Rattus norvegicus: one gene and its partners. The protein of the gene in region 5 binds, or shares a complex with, the protein of the main gene of each other region. Links are inferred from orthologs where the notes say so. Each region holds a gene or a part of one and is shown on either strand. Other genes may lie near its edges.

Region 1 (2,546 bases), about 120 Mb from region 5:
GTATCTGTTTCAGTCTCCTGTAACCTAGCCTGGCCTCAAGCTAGCTAAGTAGCACCAGGATGACCTTAAATTCCTCCTCTTGTTCCCAACACAGGGTATTATAGGCATACACCACCATACTGTTTACGCTGGGGATCGAACCTAGGGCTTTACATATGCCAGATGAGCACCCCACCAACTGAGCTATGTCCAAGGGCATCAGCTGCATCTCAGGCTGGGCGAGAGGAGCCAGGAGCTCACATCCTCCCTGGGGCCCGGGGCCCTCACCATCATAGTTTTCAGCTTCTAGCTGCAGCCTCCAATCTTCATCACGCAGCTCCTCTTCGTTCCCTGGGTTGGGTTGGGGGTCCGTGGCAACAGGGGCATGGCTGGTGTCTGGGGTGTGGTCCTGGCTCTGAGTGAGGTAGGTATCTGAGGCATCTCTTGGGTGGCTGGGACGGGGCTGAAGCAGTACATATGCACACGTGTGTGCCCTCACACGGCAGGCCAAGTGCAGTGCTGTGTGGCCCCCTCTCTCAGTCACCAACACTCCTGCGCCAGCTGCATAGAGTTTCTCTACTGTAGATGCCTCTCCAAGGATGGCTGCTAGGTGCAGGGCTGTCTACAGGGATAGAGGGAAGGGGTTAGGGCCACACTGACAATGCTGGACCCGGCTCCCTACAGCAAACATCCCCAGTGGCTCACTTGGCCTAGGTCGTTCTGCAAGTCCAGGTACTCAGTGCCGGCAGAGAAGCCCAGGAGGAAATCCAGGAAGGGCTCGTGCTGATGTATCACGGCCAAGTGCAGGGCTCTGGGGACAAAGGCAAAGGTCAGTAACACAGAGTGTCTTCTATGTGCTGCAAACTGTGGCCACAGTTGGAAACATTTCAGTGTTTGGGAGAGTCAGGGGGCAGAAGGTAATCCAGAAACTTTGTCTGACGGGGTTGGTGTTCTGAGATAAGATGGTCTTCATAAGTTGCCCACACTGACCTTGAGTTCAAGTCCCTCCTGCCTCAGCTTCCTGAGTGGCAAGGTTGACAAGCCTGTGCAAATAGGCCCCAGCTACCGACTTTGTTTCACCAGTATTTACTGAGTAATATAATCAGGTGTAATAGCTCTAATGCTAGTACGTGGGAAAACTAAAGTAGGAGGATTGTTAGTTCAAGGCCAGACTGAACTACATGGTGAGTTCTAAACCAGCAGTGTTAAATGCTAAATAATGAGATTCTATCACACACACACACACACACACACACACACACACACACACAGAAACACATAGACACAGAAACACACCACACACACACAGACACATACACCACACATACACACCACACACACCATATACACACACACATCACATACACCACACACACAACACACACACACCACGCACACACACACACCATATATACACACACATCACTCATACCACACACACACACACACACACACACACGCACACACACACATACATGCACACAGATCTAATAACAAGGAGAAGTAGCAACAGATGGATCCATAGACTGGTGATCTCAATAGGTCTCTGTCACCAACTGTTTGAATAAACAGAAAAACAGGAACAGAGTCAACTTGAAAGGCACCGTTCTTCAGGAGCGGCCGCCTTGACTCTGCAGTTGTGTGGACTGAATCTAAGGTAGCGGGCATGCAGGGAAGCTCTGTGCCACCGAGTTTCCTCCTGTTGGTTCCCTTTATTGTGAAACAGGGCCTTGCTATGAATGTCCCCAGGCTGGCCTTGAATTTACTCTCTTCCTAGGCAGGCCCTAACCTTGAACTCCTCCTGTCTCCGTCTTCTTTGTGGCTGGAATTACACACCCAGCTTTGAACAACACTGCTAACCAACATTACCTCTAAGTCACGCATCATCAGAATGAAATCTGTGGGACACAGTTCCTGAGAGCCCTTGCCTAACACTCAGGAGGCCCTGGGTTTGATGGCCAGCACCGCTAGAAAAAAACCAGAGACCGCAAATCAGACAAAGCATGTTCTCTGCCCTCAGTGAAATGAAATTTAAAGCCGGTGACAGAAAGAGGTCTGGAAAGTCCTCCAAGTGTGGAAAATGAATGTACTTCTTTATTACCTACTGGCTGAAGGAGAAATCAAAAGAGAAATTAAAAAATATACTCAATTATGCTAAAAACAAAACACAGTCTATCAGAAGTTCTCCAGAGGAAATATGTACAGCATTCCGAGCACATTAGAAAAGAAGAAAGGTGGGTTGGGGATTTAGCTCAGTAGTAGAGCGCTTGCCTAGCAAGCACAAGGCCCTGGGTTCGGTCCCCAGCTCCGAAAAAAAGAAAAAGAAAAAACAAAAAACAAAAAAAAAGAAAAGAAGAAAGGTGAGCTAGGCAGTGGCTTACTTGGGAGTGCTAGCTTAGCACACATAAGGCTCAACCCCAACTCTGCAGAAACCAGCCTTGCACCACCTTGCCTGGAATCCCAGGCAGGAAGGCCAAGAGTTTAAGGCTAGGGTAGGAGGGATGGCTCAGCAGTTAAGAGCACTGATTGCTCTTCCAGAGGTCTTGAGTTCAATTCCCAGCAACCAC
Region 2 (4,194 bases), on a different chromosome or scaffold from region 5:
TAGAACAGGAACTTAAAGGGTTCTCAGGATACCTGCTTAACTTGTGAGTTCTAGCAACCGATGCAAGATCATCTTCTGACCATAGCGGACCTGCAAGGCTTGCTGCTCCCGCCAGCTCAGCTTGGCATAGACCTCCTTGTTACTGAGTAAATCCTGCTCAGTTTTTAAGTCTGTGGCATAGGTCTGTAGGGTCAACAGAACACTGTCTCGAAGAAGCCGTTTCCACGATTCTTGGAGCTTGGGGATATTTGTGATTGCCAGACTGCCATCTTCAGTCTCTTCCTCTCCCCATCCAGCCCGCTCTTTGTAGTCTCTGAACTCCTCAGCAGGCATGCACAGTACCTAGAGGGAACACGGGCCCTTGAGATGGGATGTGCTCCCATCTGTGACTTCCATACCACTGTAGGGAAGACAGCCAGACCACTGTAGGGAAATTAGGTCCCCTTTGTGTTAGTCTAAATGCCAGCACCCACACCCTGTTAGCCCTGTACCTTAAGTGTGGTGGCTAGCTCCTCTTCAGTCAGCACCTCCTCACGACCTATCACAAAGGCTCCCTCTTCCCCTACCAGCTCCTGTTTGCACAGGAAATCCCAGCGTTCACATAGGAGCAGCCTCTCGGTTTCATCCTCTGTTCCTGTAAAGTAATGGAAGTGAGCGGACATCAACTCCAGCAAGCTGGCTCGCCAGAGAGGCCCCCAGAACCTGGAGTGGGCACACGCACCCTGCAGTGCAGCTTCGCGGACTGCCACCATCTGAATGTCCGCTGTGTCATCTGTGTTGTTAGGGTAGGGCTCGGCGAAACCATACATGTGAATCAGCTGCCAGTTAGCCATTTGCCCATATGTGTTGAAGATTTCGTGACCTTTGAGAATGGGTTGAGTAGCCACCATTCGGAGATATTCCTGGGTTAAAATGATAAAGCTGGGACCACAGCTTCGGCCCCACCAGCCTATGAAGGCCCCTTTCCCCTTGGAAGAGACTGTTGAACTGTGGGCTGAGGCTAAGTTAAGCCCTGCATTACTGAAGCGGGGAGACCAACTTGAGAGGTTGGTATGTTGGGTTTAGGATTCCAGGTGTACCTGCCTAGTTACCTACACCAGCTTTAAACAAGCCTAGGCCGGGTGACTCACCTGGCGCTCAGGAGGCAACCTTAAGAGTCCTGCACTAGCCAGGGCTATATAGTAAGACCATGTCTCAAAAACGTAAGTTAAACTTAAAGTCACCGTAGAATGGAGGTGAAGAATAAGTGAAAGTCACATCTGCTTACACTGGAGAACAAAGTGGCGTGTATAGATTCCTGGGAGTTTGGGCCTGACATCTTCGGTCCTCCCTCAGCTTCCTAGGACACAGGTGTAAGCCATTAGGCTGACATTTGCCCATTTCTCCATCGCATGTGCCTGTACCTTCTCAATTTTCCATACAGAACCGATACTAAAGTGGGGCTTACTGTGCCTCTGGCCCATGAACATCCCACCTCTTGAACAGTACTGAAGTGCCTTTCCAGGACAGGGCCTGAGGTGATTTGGCAAAGCAGGCAGCTATTCTGGTGAACTTAGGGTGTGTCCGCACCGTCTCATACCAAAAGTACACAGGAGGAGGAAACTGGAGCCAAGTGATTTCACTTGTAATGCACACAACCTGACCAGGGATGGGGGTCCACTCACTGCAGAGTACTCTAGGTTGGCATTATGATTGGCTATGTGGTTTAGAATGTCTGCAGCGGGCACCATCAACGGGGAGTTGGGCTCCTTTTCATCCTCCTCCTCCTCCAGCGGTTCTTGAAAGCTGCCGCAGAGAGAACTCAGCTAAGGCCCAGTCTTGGGTGAGGGGCCTGGAGTTAACTGTTCTTTTCCACCTTCCCCCTCAAAGATGAGGGGCTGCTCCTCTAGGCTTTAATCACTGACCTACCTATAAGCCATGACAAGAGCCACGAGCTGGCGATAGAGCTCCAGGGAGCGAACAGTGGGGCTGAAGAGATCGGAGTGAGCCTCCATGAAGGGCAGGACGATGGAATAGTATTCGCTACGGATGTTCACCAAATCCTTCTCCACGGCCTCTGGGACACCTGTACCCTTTAGGAGGCGCAACCGCTCTTCCTCCGGCCTGCAAGAACAGCCCACCCAGGGCCCGTCACAGCCTGCAGCTCCCATGCAGCAGGTGCCCGGTGCCCAGAGCAAAGGAAACAGGTTCTTCCCGGCCCTTCACCTTCGACTCTCACCAAAACATGGGATGCTCCAATCGCCCCAGCTCTGGCCAGAGCGCGAAGTAGGGGCTCCAGGGTGAGGCGGGGGCCTGCAGCTCGTGGAGCAGCGCCAGCAGCAGCGGCACCCACCCGGACAGACTCTGCAGCGCGCCTCGCTCTAGGGAAGACAGCGGGTGAACGTCCAAGCGCGACTCCCTTGCCAGCCTCAGAGCCAGTCCCCTGCCCCTTACTCACCTCGCTCGAGCAGGTCGCTGATGGAACAGGTGTGGGGAGACAGGAGCGCGGACCGCGGCACTGCGAACAGCAGCTCCCCGGGCTGCACGCTCTCCCGCGCCACCATGCCGTAGCCGGCCACCGTGCCCTGCCGGCTCACCAGCACCTTGGGACTCAGCTCCAGCCCCACTCGCGTGCACCAGCGCAGGAAGCCGGCCACTGCGTCACTCTCGGGCTCGTGGCCGCTGGGCCCCGCCGGGAGCGGCAGGGGCACGCGGGCGGCAGCTCTTGGGACAGGGCAGGGCGCAGCGAGGGGGGATGCGTCGCTTACCCGCGCGCGCTTCGCCGGGGCAGCCATGCTGCGAGCAGCCGCGTCCTCACGGCGCTTCCGGCGCCGCGGAACGCGAGCGGACGGGGCGGAGCTCGGTGTCCCTTCTAAACGGCTCCAGCTTGGGAATCGCGCGTGCGCGACCTCACCGGCTGGTTCTGTGCTGTCTGCACCCGAGTTCTGGGCGCGACCCCGAGAGCAGGGTGCAAGGGCAAAATCCGGTTTCTTCCTCCATGGAGCTGGGCTAATGTGCCGTAGTGACCGACCACTGGTAATAACCGTCTATTTCCTTCGATTAGTCCATTTACACCTGGGTTTGAAGTGGTCTGAAGAGTTTCCACATCTGGCAGACACACACATTCACAGTTGCCAATTTACCCTTGTTTTTCATCTTCTGCATAAGATAGAATCTTACGTGTTTTTTTTTTTTAATTGCTGATACATCGGAAGTAGTCAGTGTTAAGTGAATGAATGGTGGTACAAATGGTAACATGGGGAACTTGGCAGTTTAATTCCAGTACTTGGGAGCCAGAAACAGGGAAATTATGGGGAGTTCCTTGAAAGCCTAGGCTACGGAGTGAGACCATGTCTCAAAGCAACTAAAGACAAGCAAACGAAAAGGGGCGTGCCCTTGCTTTGAAGAGGTCTCACTGGCTAAGCTTTCTGCCCAGCTGTAAAAGAGTTAGTGTCATGATTGATAAAACTATATCTCAGAGTATATAGCCTGTGCCATATACTTGGTAGAACCTTGCCCATTGTGTGTGAACGCCCTGATTCAATCTCTATCACCCCAAAAGGAAAAAAAACAAAAAACAAAGGACCCAGGACGCTGAAGTAGAACTGCTGAGTATTCAAGACCAGCTTTGTCTACAGAATGAGGCTACTCAGCCCTCCCCCACCACAAACGTGCAGACCAGGCACTGACGGTGTAGAGGTACACACAGATGTTTACTATCCTCCACCTGTCTGAATCTAAGGCAACCTCCCCTGTGATAGAAAGCACGGCACACATACGCTTAATTTCTTTATTAGTTTTTCTGCACAGATATCTTTCTATATCAATAAGGATTTTTGTTTTGCATTTTGTAATCTCAAAGTCTCTTATCAGCCACCAGAATACACAAAATTAGGCTCTTAACTTTGTACAGAGAGGGAAGTAATGAACTCCATTAAAAGTTCATCCTGACCAAAGAGAAGACAACCATCAATGGGAAACCACATACAGAAGGACCCGATATACATACATATATATATAATGTATAGGTATTTATAGATATCTTAAGAACACAGCAAAAAGATGTCCAATACTTGAAGTGCTATCTACAGTAAGGGATTAATTCTGCCAGCTTTAAACAGTCACACTCGGTATTCACGGAAGCACGTGAGTGAACAGAACCAGGGATAGGATACACTCCACTGGACTTCAGAGCAGTCTGGAAATGGCTTACAG
Region 3 (4,188 bases), on a different chromosome or scaffold from region 5:
CTTTTTCTTTTTTTTTTTTAGAAAAATAAAACTCTATTTGTACAAATATACAAGTCCACGTTCCTTTGGCCACTTTCCTCTTATAACGTCAGACGCTGGCCTCCAAACACACAGTCATCGTAGGGCAACTGGAACAAGAGAGGGAAAAAGGCACATTAGATTCCTAGAACTTCGCCAAGCCATTGGGATGGCGGGAGAGCTGCTTCTACAAATAACTCCCATTCCTGGACTCTCTCCTCCTCAGCCTAAACAGAACGCAGGCGCCGGGCTGCAGGAGTTCCCTTCACCAATTCTCTCCTTTCAAAAGTCTAAGCTATTGCAGGGGACATAGCTCAATGGTAGAACATGTGCCTATTACCACGTGTTAAAGCCTGGGTTCAATTCCCACAACTCCCTCTTACTGCCCCATTCCGAAACCCACAAGGGTAAGCTATTAAAGCAAACCAGAGACACGTTCTTGGGATCCTGGCTTTGCAAGCTGAGACTGAGAAGTTGAATAACTCAGGTCCCTATGATACAGAACAGCTCTAGAACAGACCTAGGTGTGGTGAGGGAGAATGGACCACTCTGGCAGTAATGAACACGCACCTCATCTTCCGTGAATTCTGACTCCGTGTCATAGCTCTCCTCATCCTCACTCTCGGGCAGCGTCTGAAGATTTTCCAGGGTCAGCTGGCCCAGCTGCTGCTGTATCCGGGTACTTGGGCGGCCCCACGTAAGCTGGTAGGGGGAGTAGCCCTGGTAGGTTACTCTGTTGACATCAGCCCCACACTTCAACAGGAGCGAGACCAGGTCAGGATTCTGCAGGTCCACTGCAAGGTGGAGGGCTGTCCGGCCATTACAGGGCTCCTGAAACCAAAGGCAATCAGAAGTGTTTATCTGGAAATCTGCTCACAGTAAGAGCCAGCCCAGCAGAGTTTAGGAGGAAGGGGAAGTACTCACCTGAGCGTTGACATCAGCACCCAAAGTCACCAAGTGCTCCACGATGCCCAGGTAGCCATGGATAGAGGCTAAGTGTAGACACGTGTGGCCTGCAGGATATAAGACGGAACTGTAACCACTTGTTTCAATCCTCACACAAGTCACGTCTCCTTTCTTGGGGACAACCACAAACAACCTCAATTTTGAAGAACTCAAAAGTCTGGGTTCTCAGTGAACGTCATGTAGGAATCATGGAGAAGACTTTTTAAAAGTCCACACTGCCTGAACTTCTTATACGTTGAGGCGTTTTAGCTCCAGGCTAGACTCAAGGGGACCCGTCTCTCCCTTCTCTGCGTCCCTGGATGGACTGGCAGACCTACCGTTGTAGTTGGTGGCCTGCAGGACGGAGTGGAGATGCTGGGGCGTACAGGTCTGAGTCAAGACTGCTACACTGGCCAGGCAGCCCTGCTCACAGGCAAGATGGAGAGGGGTATTTCCTCGAAAGTCTCGGAGCTCAGGATCACAGCCAGCTTTCAGAAGTGCCTCAGCAATTCCTGGCTGGTTGGTGATCACAGCCAAGTGGAGTGGAGTCTACGAATGGAAGAGGAAACAGAAAGAGCCTAAGCCATGGAGCAAACCCATAGTCTTGAGTTTCCTGAACCCCAGACACCTCCTATTACAGAATCCCCTCCTCCCATTTGTCTACAGGAGATCAGGCAAACAGGAGGCCCTACGTGGGTCATAAAGACCTCAACCAACCCTTGGGATTTTCCTTCTTGCTCTAAGACTTTGGCTAATTTGAATGTAAAAGGCCAGGGCAGATAAGGACCGTGACTGTTAATTTAGAAACGCTTTGGGGGCGACTGAGCTTCATCTAACTCCACCACGGGGTCAAAGAGGGCACAGCTGGGCAAGCCCGCACCTGCTGCAGGTTGTTCTGGAAGTTGAGGAAGGCCAGGTCTCCCTTCACCTGACCAATCACTTCCATGGTCAGTGTCTTCTCTTCATGGATGATTGCCAAGTGCAGGAACCTGCGGGATGACAGGGAAACCCCCCAGGGGTGGTGAGCGCACTGCGTGGGGCCCCCGAGAGGCGCGGGCTGCGGGGGATTGCGCAAGGCCGGGGTTTCTGGAGGCCGCGGCCGCGGTGTTTTCCGCGAGGTTATTATGAGCTGAGTGTTCCTGGCAGCCGCCCAGGGACTTTCCGTGCCCCACCCCCTCCGGGCGGGCGCCGGCCAGACCGGCCCGCCCTCCGCCGCCCGGAACGCCCTGTACTTCCCCTCGCGGCCGCGCAGCGCCCGGCGGCTGCGCGGAAACTCTGCCAGGCGGGGACTTTGCGTCCTCGTTGCCGCCCCGCCCCCGGCCTGCGCTCGGCTACTCCGGGTCCCGGGAAATGGGGTGGGGGGATGGGGAGGCAGGCGGCCCGGCGCCCGCAGCTCTGTAGCCCCGTAGCCCCGCAGCCCCGCCGTGCAGAGCCCCGAGCGCGGTGCAGGCCCCGCGCGACCCCGCCCGTGCCCATGCCCGAGCCCGCCGCCACTTACGAGTCTCCGTCCTCCGTGAGCTGTTGCTTCCAGGGCTCGGCAGCCAGAGGCGCCTCCTGCGGCTGCAGGCGGATCTCCCGCAGCTCCTTCACCATCTGCTCGTAATCCTCGTCCTTCATGGAGTCCAAGCCGCTGTCGTGGCGGTCGTCCACCAACCGCTCCTTCTTGAGGCCGTCCCGCGGGCCCTCCATGGCCCAGTCCTGGCCGTGCCCAGCTGGCTGAAACATGGCTGTGCGGAGCTGAGCGGGTGCAGGGTGCAGGCTGCTGGCAGTTGGGTGGCGAGTTCAGACTGTTGTGGGCTCGGCAGCGCCGCCTCGGCGCCCTATAAACGCTGGCAGGGGATTTCTCAGGGGCGGGGTCAGGCGCGGGGAATTTCCAAGCCAGTCAGACTAGAAAAAGAACTGGCTCGTCCTCGACTGAGAAGCCTAAACCCAGGGCCGGGGTTCATCAGAGAAACTCCCTACGATGAGCCACTGGGGTCATGTACAGGGAACTTTTTGATGAGCCCTGAGTGGCTGGAAAGTCCTCCCGACCAGGCCCCCTCCCTCTAGGTACTTCCCTGCAGCCTGCACTCAGTAACCCCAGCGTTCTACAAGAGCCCTTCTTTCCCTGGGGTTTCCCACCGACGACTTTGGTTTGGGGTCCCAAGCTGCTGAGATTCCAAGGACGCAAACCTGCTAGGCTGTTCCTCTTAGAGATTTGCCAATTTGCAGGTCCTTTCCGGTTCTTGATCTTTTGAAAACCCAAGAGTGGAAATGGCTGGCTGGGTGCAGGGATTCGCTTCTCCTAAATTTCTGCGACGACGGACGTATGAGTGATTCCGGGTCGTCTGTGTTTCAGGCTCTTTGCAGTGCATGGACATTTGGCTGCCCTTCACCATCCCCCCTCGAAGCTGTAGACACTTTGGCATTCAAACAAACAAAACCAATAACAACAACAACAAAATCCAAGCGCCTGGAGAACCCCTAGATTAATTCCGAGGGGTCAATAATCTCGCCCGGGGGAGGGGCAGCGGGGGAGGGGCAAAGTCTAGCTCCATATGGGAACCACATTTTCCCCCAAGTAATGCAAGGTGTTAATCTTTGTAGAAGTTGTAGCTTCCATGCAACAGAAACTGTTGAGTTCTTGCTGTTGGAGTTAACTTGTTAACTTGTAGAGAATAAAGCCGGAGCTTATTGTGAATGCCTAGCAGAACAACTGGTTTAGTGCCCTAGCCTCTTAAACATAGCTAAGAAAGTAACTTTGAAGCATCCTGCAGGAGGCTCAACATAGTCCTAACACTGACCACATCTGAAACCTGCTGGTTCTACTAGCTTCCTTGCTTCCCAGGGACCGCAGCATTGTGGGTGGCTACTCCTCAAGAAAGGGATTTGGGCCTGTGATCCCCTAGTTTTACCTGCAAAAGTAGAAGTGTTGCTTCCACCCCATCCCGACTTAGGAGCCTGCAAGTGTGAGGTAACTCGGGAAAATTAAAGCAACTTGGATCACAGTTTGTCAGAATAGACCCAGTAGGCTTCCTGTTCTGCATAGATTTCTGGTGAAATTTGAGTGATCTTTTTCTTGTTGAGCCTTGTAGCAACTCTCCTCTCTTCGTAATTCCACTGCCTCCCCCACAGTATGAAAGTGAGGACACTGGGGGAAAAGATTCAAAGTCCAGGAAAAAACAAAAACTTCCAGACAACAACGTCACGTTAAAGTTAAGACTTCCTCAGCAAATCCTCTTCATC
Region 4 (3,511 bases), on a different chromosome or scaffold from region 5:
CATTTGTATTAAGATTTCTGAGTGGACCAGTGTATCTCCACAATCTTGAATGCACAGAACAGGAGGAATATTGTCACACAGTACTCTGTGTCTCACTTTTAAGGACTGTATACTCTAATGCTGCCATAGCAATGTGACCCTTCTTTGTCCACATTGCTGTCTTTTAATTGTAGTCATTCTCAATGTGAACAGTTGTCTAGTTCAACTCACATTTCCTTAATAACTACAGTTTTGGGGCATCTTTTTTCAGGTGCTCATTGACCATTTTTATGTCTTTCTTAGAAAATTGCAAATCTTTTAGCCACTTTTTTGTTCTTTGTTTTGGTATTTATTTTTTTAATGTGTTAGGTTTTCTGCCTGCATGCAGGTCTGTGTACCACATGCATGCCTTGTACCTGAGGAAGCCAGAAGGAAGGATTGGATTCCCTTGAACTGGAGCTACAAACAACTGAGAGCTACCACAAGAGTGCTCAGAGTCAAATCTGGGCTGTCTGGGAGAGCAGTTAGTATTCTTAGTTGCTGAGCCATTTCCCCCATCCTAGGTTTTTAAAACGTCTTAATTTTTGAAGAAGTCAGATAAATGAAATAATATGCCAAACGAGATAATAATTATGTCTAAATTTTAGGGGGAGTAGGGATACAGATTAAGCCTACACGACATGAGAAGCTTAAGAAAACATCTGTTACTGATAAAGTACAGAGCATTAACTTTCTCTGAAGACTGCCTCAAAGACAACTCCTAGCCCTATACTAAAAGCCATAATTCTAAGGCCAGTATTAAGACTAAGGAAGTACTGTGTGAGTTTTTGGTGTGTGTGTGCAATACAACTAAAGTAGTGTTTGAGTTCTGGTGTGTGTGTAGGCACATATGTGCGTGTGTGCATGCATGCGCGCAGTTTCATGTAGCTCAGGCTAGCTGTGTGATCTTCCTTCTATCTCCATTTTGAAAGTGCTGGGATCATGGGACTGTACTACCAGATCCTGGGTAAAGTAAAAACAAAGTAAAACCAACAAAAATAAAAATAGCAAACTTATCACTTGTAAATTTGGGTTTTGCTCAGCAGATCAGAGTTCTTGCTAAATCAAATCCTCAGAAACCTTGTTAAAGAGCCAGTCAAGTTCATGTGTCCACTTGTATCCCTAGTATAGTGGGGATGCTGACAGCACACCCAGTGTCCTCTTCTGGCTTCTGGGTGCATACTTGCTGCGTGTGTGTGTGTGTGTGTGTGTGTGTGTGTGTGTGTGTGTACATAAATCATACATATACACAAAAGATGCAAATTTAATAATAAACATGTAACAAAGATATTTACAATAAATCATACATTTAAATAACTAGCATTGGTCAAATCTTTCTAAATTAGCCGTTTCTATTTTTTTGATTTTTGATACAGGGTTCCTCTGTATAGTCCTAGCTATACTGGAACTCTGAAGACCAGGCTGGCCTTGAACTGAAGAGATCCATCCTCCTCTGCCTCCCAAGTGCTGAGATTAAAGGGGGACTTTTTCTTTAGTTTGCATACACATGTATAATGAGCTTGAAATCATGTGTTTTCCTCTGTTGTTTTCCTTTTATATAATTATTATTTTGAGGCATGGTCTCTCACTGAGCTTGGAGTAACTGAACTACCAGGATCCCCCTGTGCCACCTCAGTCCTGGGCTTACAGGCACAAATTGCCACATCAGCTTTTATGTAGGTGCTGAGGATCTGAACTGGGCCTTTTTTTCTTTTATTCCCTTTAAGCTTCATTGTTGATTCTAACGTCCAGCAAAGGGCAAGAAAGGTAACTTAGGCTATAGCTTTCCTTAATACAACTGCTCAGTTGACTTTAGATCATTCTAGGATTAAAGACCACTTTTACCTTAAAAAATGCAGGGAAGGCTTTCTGGTTCTGCTTTAGCCCTGCAGTTTGACCATCACTGTGTTTGAGTGTGCATGCACGTGCCAAGTACGCTTATGTGGATGTGGTACAGTAGAGGCTGAACTTCGTACAAGTGAGGCAAGTGCTGCACAACTGAGTGGGGGCGAAGGAACGGAAAAAGAAAACAAGAATGGTTTCAGATGCCACCCAAGGTGCTACACTAATTATACTTCTTGGTATTGAAAATCAGTTCTTCACAGTAGTGTCTCCCTGTCTGGTAGGGAAGGGCAGTTCTTAATAAACTACAGTAGTTTTATCTCGATTTCTCCACCTTTAAAACTAAAATAACTCACCTTTTCCCATCAAGGACACATTACATTGTTAGGTGAATAGTATGCTTTAATTAAAAAAAAAAAAAAACAAAACTGTTCATCTTTGAATGCCATGCTTAAAGCATGGTGAGAAAAACCCAATTTAATCAAAATAAACCTACCTGAACTTTAACTTCCTGGTGGCTGAGTAGCGGAACCAAATGAGGAACTATTCCAGAGTCTATTACCATCTGTATCTGCTCATTGCCAGCATCCGTAAGGTAAGATAGGGCCCAGACAGTATCTACCAGTATCTAATAAGTAAAAGAAAAGTTCAAGTATTTCAATATTTTCTCGTTGTAATATTTCCTTTTGATTTTTCTTGGGGAGGGGCATAGGATTTTGAAACAGGGTTTCTGTGTGCAGCTCTAGTTGTCGTGGAACTTGCTCTGTAGACCAGGCTGGCCCCAAACATAGAGATCTACCTGCCTCTGCCTTCTGAATGCTGGGATTAAAGACATGAGCTACCATATTCGGCAATTTTAATAATTCTTAACCATAACATGAGATCTTTCTCTTCTTCCTTCAACTCACTAGAGAACATCAATCTCTATTCTATAGCTGTGTTTAAGATGTGTAAGTTATAGTCCAAGTCCCTTATCAGTATCTAATCCTAATTCAGCAAACTACACATGCAAACTATACAGCATATTAAATAGAAAACCAACCAACCAACCACAGATAAAGATCAAGGTAAGAAATATATAAAAAACAGTAACTCCTGAAAAAATAATTACTTCATATCACTGCTACTATGGGGGAAGAGGGGTTTTGATTAATTTATAATAATGCGAGTCATGTGTTTGATCCTTCTTTGTATTCTAAACCCTACTTCAAACCATGGCCAAAGGACAGTAGGGTAAAAAGACAGTAAAAGGTGATATATAAATAACACAATTGTTTATAAAAAAAACTCCCTCAGGAATAGCAACTATATCTGGAACTCCAAAACCCTTTGAACTCTGTATCAAAAAAAAGAAGTTTAAAACCTTTTCAATTCCTAACCAATATTATGATTAAGACACTAAAGAGACTGTAAAAGGGAAACAGCAGGGTTGGGGATTTAGCTCAGCGGTACAGCACTTGCCTAGCAAGCTCAAGGCCCTGGGTTCGGTCCCCAGCTCAAAAAAAAAAAAAAAGAAAAAAAAAAAAAAGAAAAAAAAAGGGGGGGGGGAACAGCACAGCATAGCTCCTTTAGAAATTTAAGAAAGCAGTTGAGCATGGTAGTGCATGCCTATAACTGCTCTCGGGAAACAAGGAAGGAAGAACAGAGTGTG
Region 5 (4,079 bases):
AACAGTCACTTCCCATCCAACTCCAGGGCATCCTGCAAGCTTCCCACAGAGGCAGCTCTGGGTCTTCTCTGCCCTGCCCCCTGCAGCAAGGCCACACCCACCCCAGCCCCATTCTCTTCCCAAGCCCACCCTCTCCCCTTACTGCAGCTGGCCACTTACGGTTATCAAAAATCGGATGCGAGAGGACAGGGGTCAGGCGGAGGGGCCTGCCTGATGGGTCCCGCACTGTCACCTGGAAGCAGAGGCGGACCGCATTCAAGTCATAGTCCCCGCGCTGCTCCTCTATGGGAACTGTCAAAAAAAAAAAAAAAGTGGTGGAAGGCATGGGGAGGGCAGGGAGCTCTGAGGGAAGAGGAAGGTGATTTGAGGATATATAAAACAGAAGTCTAAGGGGAGGAAGACAAAATCCTAGACCCATCACGGCTCTACTGGGACCTGAATACACCACCCCTTTCTAGGCCTGACTCTCAACGGTAGCATGTGAGTGTGTACCATGCTGGCAGCGAGGTTCCACTTGTACTGTTGGGTTGGTCATGGAGGGTGAGGAGCGCCAGAGGCCCAGGGAAGGTGGCAGAATGTGCACCACAGGCAGGCTATGTCCTGCCCCTTGCTCCTACCTTGAAAGGGGTTATTGTTGGTCTGGATGCGCTGGCTAATGGCTTGCTCCAGGTCTCGCTTCTTCACACACTGGATCCCCAGGTTCTGGAAGCTGAGGCCTCAGGCATTAGTTCTGTGTCTCCAAAAGAACACCCTCTTCCCACTCCTCAGCTCACAGCTCAAGGCTTCCCACTGTGCTACAATGAACCCACTCCTTACCCACTGGCGAGTCTCTGAGGGACCTGGCCCACACCAGCCCCCAAGTCAGTGTCCTAGCCTCAGCCACAGGGCCTTCCTGTCCCGTCCCTGAGCACACTAAACTTAGTCCCTTTTCCAGGTCACCATACTTCTTTCTTGTGCATGCAATGTTCTTTTGGGCTTGTCTGCTTTTTCTCACCATTTGAGTGTTAGCACAGAGGCCTTCTGCAATCTTCCAACCCAAAGTCATGAGACCTACGTAACAGGACATGGTGCTACGCGCCTATTACCCTTGGAGTTGAGAAGAGGAGGTAGGTGAACCCTCATGAGTGCAAGGCCAGCTTCAGCTATATGAGACTCTGTCCCTATGCCACGAGACCAGCCTCCTCCTCCTTCTAATTTATTACTGTGTTTTCTTTTCATCATGGAAATTATAATTCTCCACTAGTATCTTTTCTATCTGTTTGTACAACTGTCCCCTGGTTTTACCAACTGGTATTTAAGCTCTAGGAGAGTCCATTACGGACTTTCTGATACAAGAGCCTAAGGGACTGGGCTATCCAGTCATAAAGGATCTGTCGCTCCAAGATAAAGAGTTCCCATCTGTTAGCGAATTTAAGACAAAGGGGGTCTGTTTGCAGACCTGGGGACAGAGCAAGGACTCTGGATTCTGCCAGTGTTTAGAAAAGTGTAACTTTGTAACAGCTGCCTGGCCCAGCCTGCTCTTACCCTGCCCCCTACCTACCCTGACCTCACACTACCCCCAGCCTATCTATTCAGACTCACCTGTGGATGCATCGGTCTGGGCAGAGTTCAGCCTCATAGAAGCCATCCCGGCAGTCCTTCCCCACAAGTTCATGTGGATGAGGCCGGTGAGGTGGGTCTTTGGTGACCAGGGAGATTCGAACTGTTCCTGGTCCCGTGTAGCCATTGATCTGTCCAAAGTACAGAGTACTTTAGAGGCCAGCAATCCCAAATCTGGCTCCTAGACACGGGGCGCGGTGGCAAGGAGGCAAGTCTGCTGGGGCTCCACAGTGCCTTCCACCACATCTGTGTCCCCACCCCGACACCCCTGGGGGCTCTTGCTTACCTTGATGGTGGGGTGCGTCTTAGTGGTATCTGTGCTTCTCTCCCCAGGAATACTGCCTGCAGAGCGGCCCTCGCACTTGTAACGGAAACGCATGCCCCGCTGCTTGGGCTGCTCAATGATCTCCACATATGGCCCAGAAGCCTGGGCTGGCTCTGTGGGTGATACGGTCAGCCATTAGGTGCTGCCCCCATGGCCCCTACTCCAGGACAGCCCCTACCTACTGAGGAAGGATGGTCCACTTACCTGAGGGAAAGATGAGGGGAAACAGATCTGAAAGGGAAAGACAAGGCACACTGTCAATAAACTCCAGTACCCACCCTCACCAGGGAATGCCTCCAAAGGAAACTGAGCCAAGATCCTAAGACCTGCCCTGAAAGAGGCCAGGTAAAGAAGGCAAAAGCATCTCTCTACTAGAGAAAAGGGGCACAGAGGTATTCCTTTGCCCGGGGAAACTGAGTCAGAGCCTGTTTTACGTTCATAAGTGACACTGAGGAAGGGTTCTACCCCCTCTCCTTTTCGGGGGATACTGAGTCAGATACTTTCTCCCTTACACGGAAAGGAAGCCAGAACTAATCGCATCGACACAGTGGGTGGGGGGGGGAAGCCGGAGGAAACTGAGTCAAGATTCACCCGTACTCCCACCCAGGAGGGACATTGAGTCAAGGCGCCCTCCACTGAGAGGGGCAACTGAGTCAGACCCCTCGCAGCCCGCCCCGCCCCGTGCCACCATCCGGCCTGCCGCTCCCTGCGCAGCAACCCGCGGCGCAGAAAGGGGCGGAAGACGGCGCGAGGGGGATCCCGCCGCAGGTCCCGGAACTCTAGGGCAGCCGTCCCGCGGGCCAGAGGGCAGCCTCACCGTCCATGGCCAGGGTCCCGGGGGCGGGGCCGGGGTCGCAGCTGAGCCCACGGCGCGCTAAAGCGAAGCCATTCGCCAGAGGCGGAAATGCGCGGCGCGCGCCCGTCGTCGCGTCACTGCCCGGAATCCGGCCGCGCCTGCGCGCTGCGCCGCCGCCACCGACGCGCGTGGGGGCCGAGAGCAGGTGCGCAACTCACGCTGGGCGCGGAAGGTGTGCGGCGCGCGGGCGGGGACACCGGAGCGCGGCGGTAGGACGCCGAGGCTATTCGTCCTGAGGCCCGCCCGACTGCAAGCCGCTCCCGGACTACGCAGCGCGGTTCGCTCCGTGTCCGGGCCCCGCCTGGAGGGCGGGCCCGCGATTACTCACTCTGTTTTTAGGGGATTTCGGGTCCCGTTCCCCGCCCCGCTCTGATCTCAAGAGTTTGGTGATGTCACCCTGGCCTGGTCTGGAGCAGAGCCCGGGCTGCTGGCAGGCTGCGGCCATTCGCCCTGCACAAGGAGAGGCTCAGGCCTGCTGCTTCCGCGGAGCACAGTGACTGAATTCCACACGTTTTCCTACTCGTGCAGGGCCTTCTGGGGACCGCCGCGCGTTACAGGCCATATGCTCCCAACCTAGATCCGGCTGCGCGCAGGAGTGCTTCCCAAAGCATGCTTCATCAAGGCTTGACTGAGGCCTTGGTGTAGAGGGGACCGAGGTAGACACCTGTACCTCTAAGAGTCCCTGAGAGCAATGAATGCTGGAAGAGCTCCAGGGCTTCGCCTCCACAGATAGGTCCTGTCTGCTAAGGTTCAGATCCCTAGGGATCTCCGGAGCTAGCCAGGGTCACACCACTTGAGCATCTCCTTGAAGGCCTCCCAGGAGCCTGAGCTCCAGTGATGAAAGCTTTTGTAGGGAGAGAAAATTGCCATCTAAGCCAAGGGCGGGTGTGCAGATTGAGTCTGGGGACACTGGCTGGAGGAATCAACACATCAGGCTCCCTCCACAATGCCAGAAGGAGGAGGCGGGGTGGGGGGCAGAGGAGGCTTTAGCACATGGAGAAAGACTTATTTTCTCTAAATTAGGAAATCATGTGGGAATTGGAAAAGATTGGAAATTCTGACTTCTTTCCCAGGCTCTGAAAAAAACAGGAAGACAAAAGTGAAAATAGTTACCGCCCCTCCCACTCATTTCAGTTTCTCACTTGGCGCAGATTAGAAAAAGCAGTTTAATGTTTTGCGGGGGCGGACATCAAGGTGACAGAATGAATTATGGTCTCCGATTAATGGCACACAGCCATCATTGATCCTCGCACGAACCACTTTTAAAAACTGACATATAGTTGCAATTTAATTAATATG

The links.
Region 1: the proteins of Rela (region 5) and Nfkbib are in contact, whole or in part, in a crystal structure (PDB 1K3Z), measured with the Mus musculus proteins. The link is inferred for Rattus norvegicus from reciprocal best matches to the Homo sapiens genes RELA and NFKBIB. Residues at the interface, in NP_033071.1 of Mus musculus: Lys218, Lys221, Ser240, Gln241, Ala242, Asp243, Val244, Arg246, Gln247, Asp294, Arg295, Arg297, Ile298, Lys301, Arg302, Arg304, Thr305, Tyr306, Thr308, Phe309, Ile312, Met313, Ser316, Pro317, Phe318, Gly320; in NP_001293151.1 of Mus musculus: Tyr53, Thr55, Glu56, Asp57, Asp59, Ala61, Leu64, Ala65, Ile67, His68, Gln69, His70, Pro72, Phe73, Phe76, Asn91, Leu93, Gln95, Leu100, Ile103, Leu104, Gly105, Arg125, Val137, Arg275, Leu283, Arg284, Asp306, Lys307, Leu308.
Region 2: the proteins of Rela (region 5) and Setd6 are in contact, whole or in part, in a crystal structure (PDB 3RC0), measured with the Homo sapiens proteins. The link is inferred for Rattus norvegicus from reciprocal best matches to the Homo sapiens genes RELA and SETD6. Residues at the interface, in NP_068810.3 of Homo sapiens: Glu307, Thr308, Phe309, Lys310, Ser311, Ile312; in NP_001153777.1 of Homo sapiens: Ser120, Trp122, Val220, Met221, Ala222, Tyr223, Ser224, Phe225, Gln226, Glu227, Pro228, Pro238, Asn239, Ser240, Pro241, Asn259, Leu260, Tyr262, Asn283, Thr284, Tyr285, Met288, Met296, Tyr297.
Region 3: the proteins of Rela (region 5) and Nfkbia are in contact, whole or in part, in a crystal structure (PDB 1NFI), measured with the Homo sapiens proteins. The link is inferred for Rattus norvegicus from reciprocal best matches to the Homo sapiens genes RELA and NFKBIA. Residues at the interface, in NP_068810.3 of Homo sapiens: Arg50, His181, Lys221, Ser238, Phe239, Ser240, Gln241, Ala242, Asp243, Arg246, Arg253, Asp294, Arg295, Ile298, Lys301, Arg302, Arg304, Thr305, Tyr306, Thr308, Phe309, Ile312; in NP_065390.1 of Homo sapiens: Thr71, Glu72, Asp73, Asp75, Phe77, Leu80, Ala81, Ile83, His84, Glu85, Glu86, Leu89, Leu110, Gln112, Leu117, Ile120, Thr121, Asn122, Phe142, Arg143, Leu150, Gln154, Arg218, Asp226, Leu227, Gln249, Tyr251, Gln255, Leu256, Trp258.
Region 4: the proteins of Rela (region 5) and Kpna4 are in contact, whole or in part, in a crystal structure (PDB 7LF4), measured with the Homo sapiens proteins. The link is inferred for Rattus norvegicus from reciprocal best matches to the Homo sapiens genes RELA and KPNA4. Residues at the interface, in NP_068810.3 of Homo sapiens: Lys301, Arg302, Lys303, Arg304, Thr305, Tyr306, Glu307, Phe309; in NP_002259.1 of Homo sapiens: Lys231, Asp271, Arg306, Asn310, Val312, Thr313, Gly314, Thr315, Asp316, Thr319, Lys344, Glu345, Trp348, Ser351, Asn352, Ala355, Glu387, Trp390.

The regions. Positions count from the first base shown.
Region 1 is NC_086019.1:93,175,853-93,178,398, forward strand, and holds part of Nfkbib (NF-kappa-B inhibitor beta), read right to left. Parts: intron 791-2,546; coding exon 685-790; intron 602-684; coding exon 268-601; intron 1-267. UniProt on the Homo sapiens protein: Inhibits NF-kappa-B by complexing with and trapping it in the cytoplasm.
Region 2 is NC_086037.1:9,353,715-9,357,908, forward strand, and holds the start of Setd6 (N-lysine methyltransferase SETD6), read right to left. Parts: upstream 2,802-4,194; 5' UTR 2,775-2,801; coding exon 2,438-2,774; intron 2,361-2,437; coding exon 2,219-2,360; intron 2,104-2,218; coding exon 1,909-2,103; intron 1,786-1,908; coding exon 1,665-1,785; intron 1,340-1,664; coding exon of another isoform or gene 1,268-1,339; intron 903-1,267; coding exon 722-902; intron 635-721; coding exon 492-634; intron 343-491; coding exon 37-342; 3' UTR 1-36. UniProt on the Homo sapiens protein: Protein-lysine N-methyltransferase. Monomethylates 'Lys-310' of the RELA subunit of NF-kappa-B complex, leading to down-regulation of NF-kappa-B transcription factor activity. Monomethylates 'Lys-8' of H2AZ (H2AZK8me1).
Region 3 is NC_086024.1:78,594,266-78,598,453, forward strand, and holds the start of Nfkbia (NF-kappa-B inhibitor alpha), read right to left. Parts: upstream 2,808-4,188; 5' UTR 2,689-2,807; coding exon 2,462-2,688; intron 1,953-2,461; coding exon 1,844-1,952; intron 1,513-1,843; coding exon 1,302-1,512; intron 1,032-1,301; coding exon 943-1,031; intron 850-942; coding exon 589-849; coding exon of another isoform or gene 502-588; exon of another isoform or gene 129-501; coding exon 81-128; 3' UTR 1-80. UniProt on the Homo sapiens protein: Inhibits the activity of dimeric NF-kappa-B/REL complexes by trapping REL (RELA/p65 and NFKB1/p50) dimers in the cytoplasm by masking their nuclear localization signals.
Region 4 is NC_086020.1:155,649,244-155,652,754, forward strand, and holds part of Kpna4 (importin subunit alpha-3), read right to left. Parts: intron 2,489-3,511; coding exon 2,357-2,488; intron 1-2,356. UniProt on the Homo sapiens protein: Functions in nuclear protein import as an adapter protein for nuclear receptor KPNB1. Binds specifically and directly to substrates containing either a simple or bipartite NLS motif.
Region 5 is NC_086019.1:212,353,066-212,357,144, reverse strand, and holds the start of Rela (transcription factor p65), read right to left. Parts: upstream 2,810-4,079; 5' UTR 2,749-2,809; coding exon 2,742-2,748; intron 2,156-2,741; coding exon 2,129-2,155; intron 2,038-2,128; coding exon 1,886-2,037; intron 1,731-1,885; coding exon 1,582-1,730; intron 710-1,581; coding exon 618-709; intron 292-617; coding exon 160-291; intron 1-159. UniProt on the Homo sapiens protein: NF-kappa-B is a pleiotropic transcription factor present in almost all cell types and is the endpoint of a series of signal transduction events that are initiated by a vast array of stimuli related to many biological processes such as inflammation, immunity, differentiation, cell growth, tumorigenesis and apoptosis.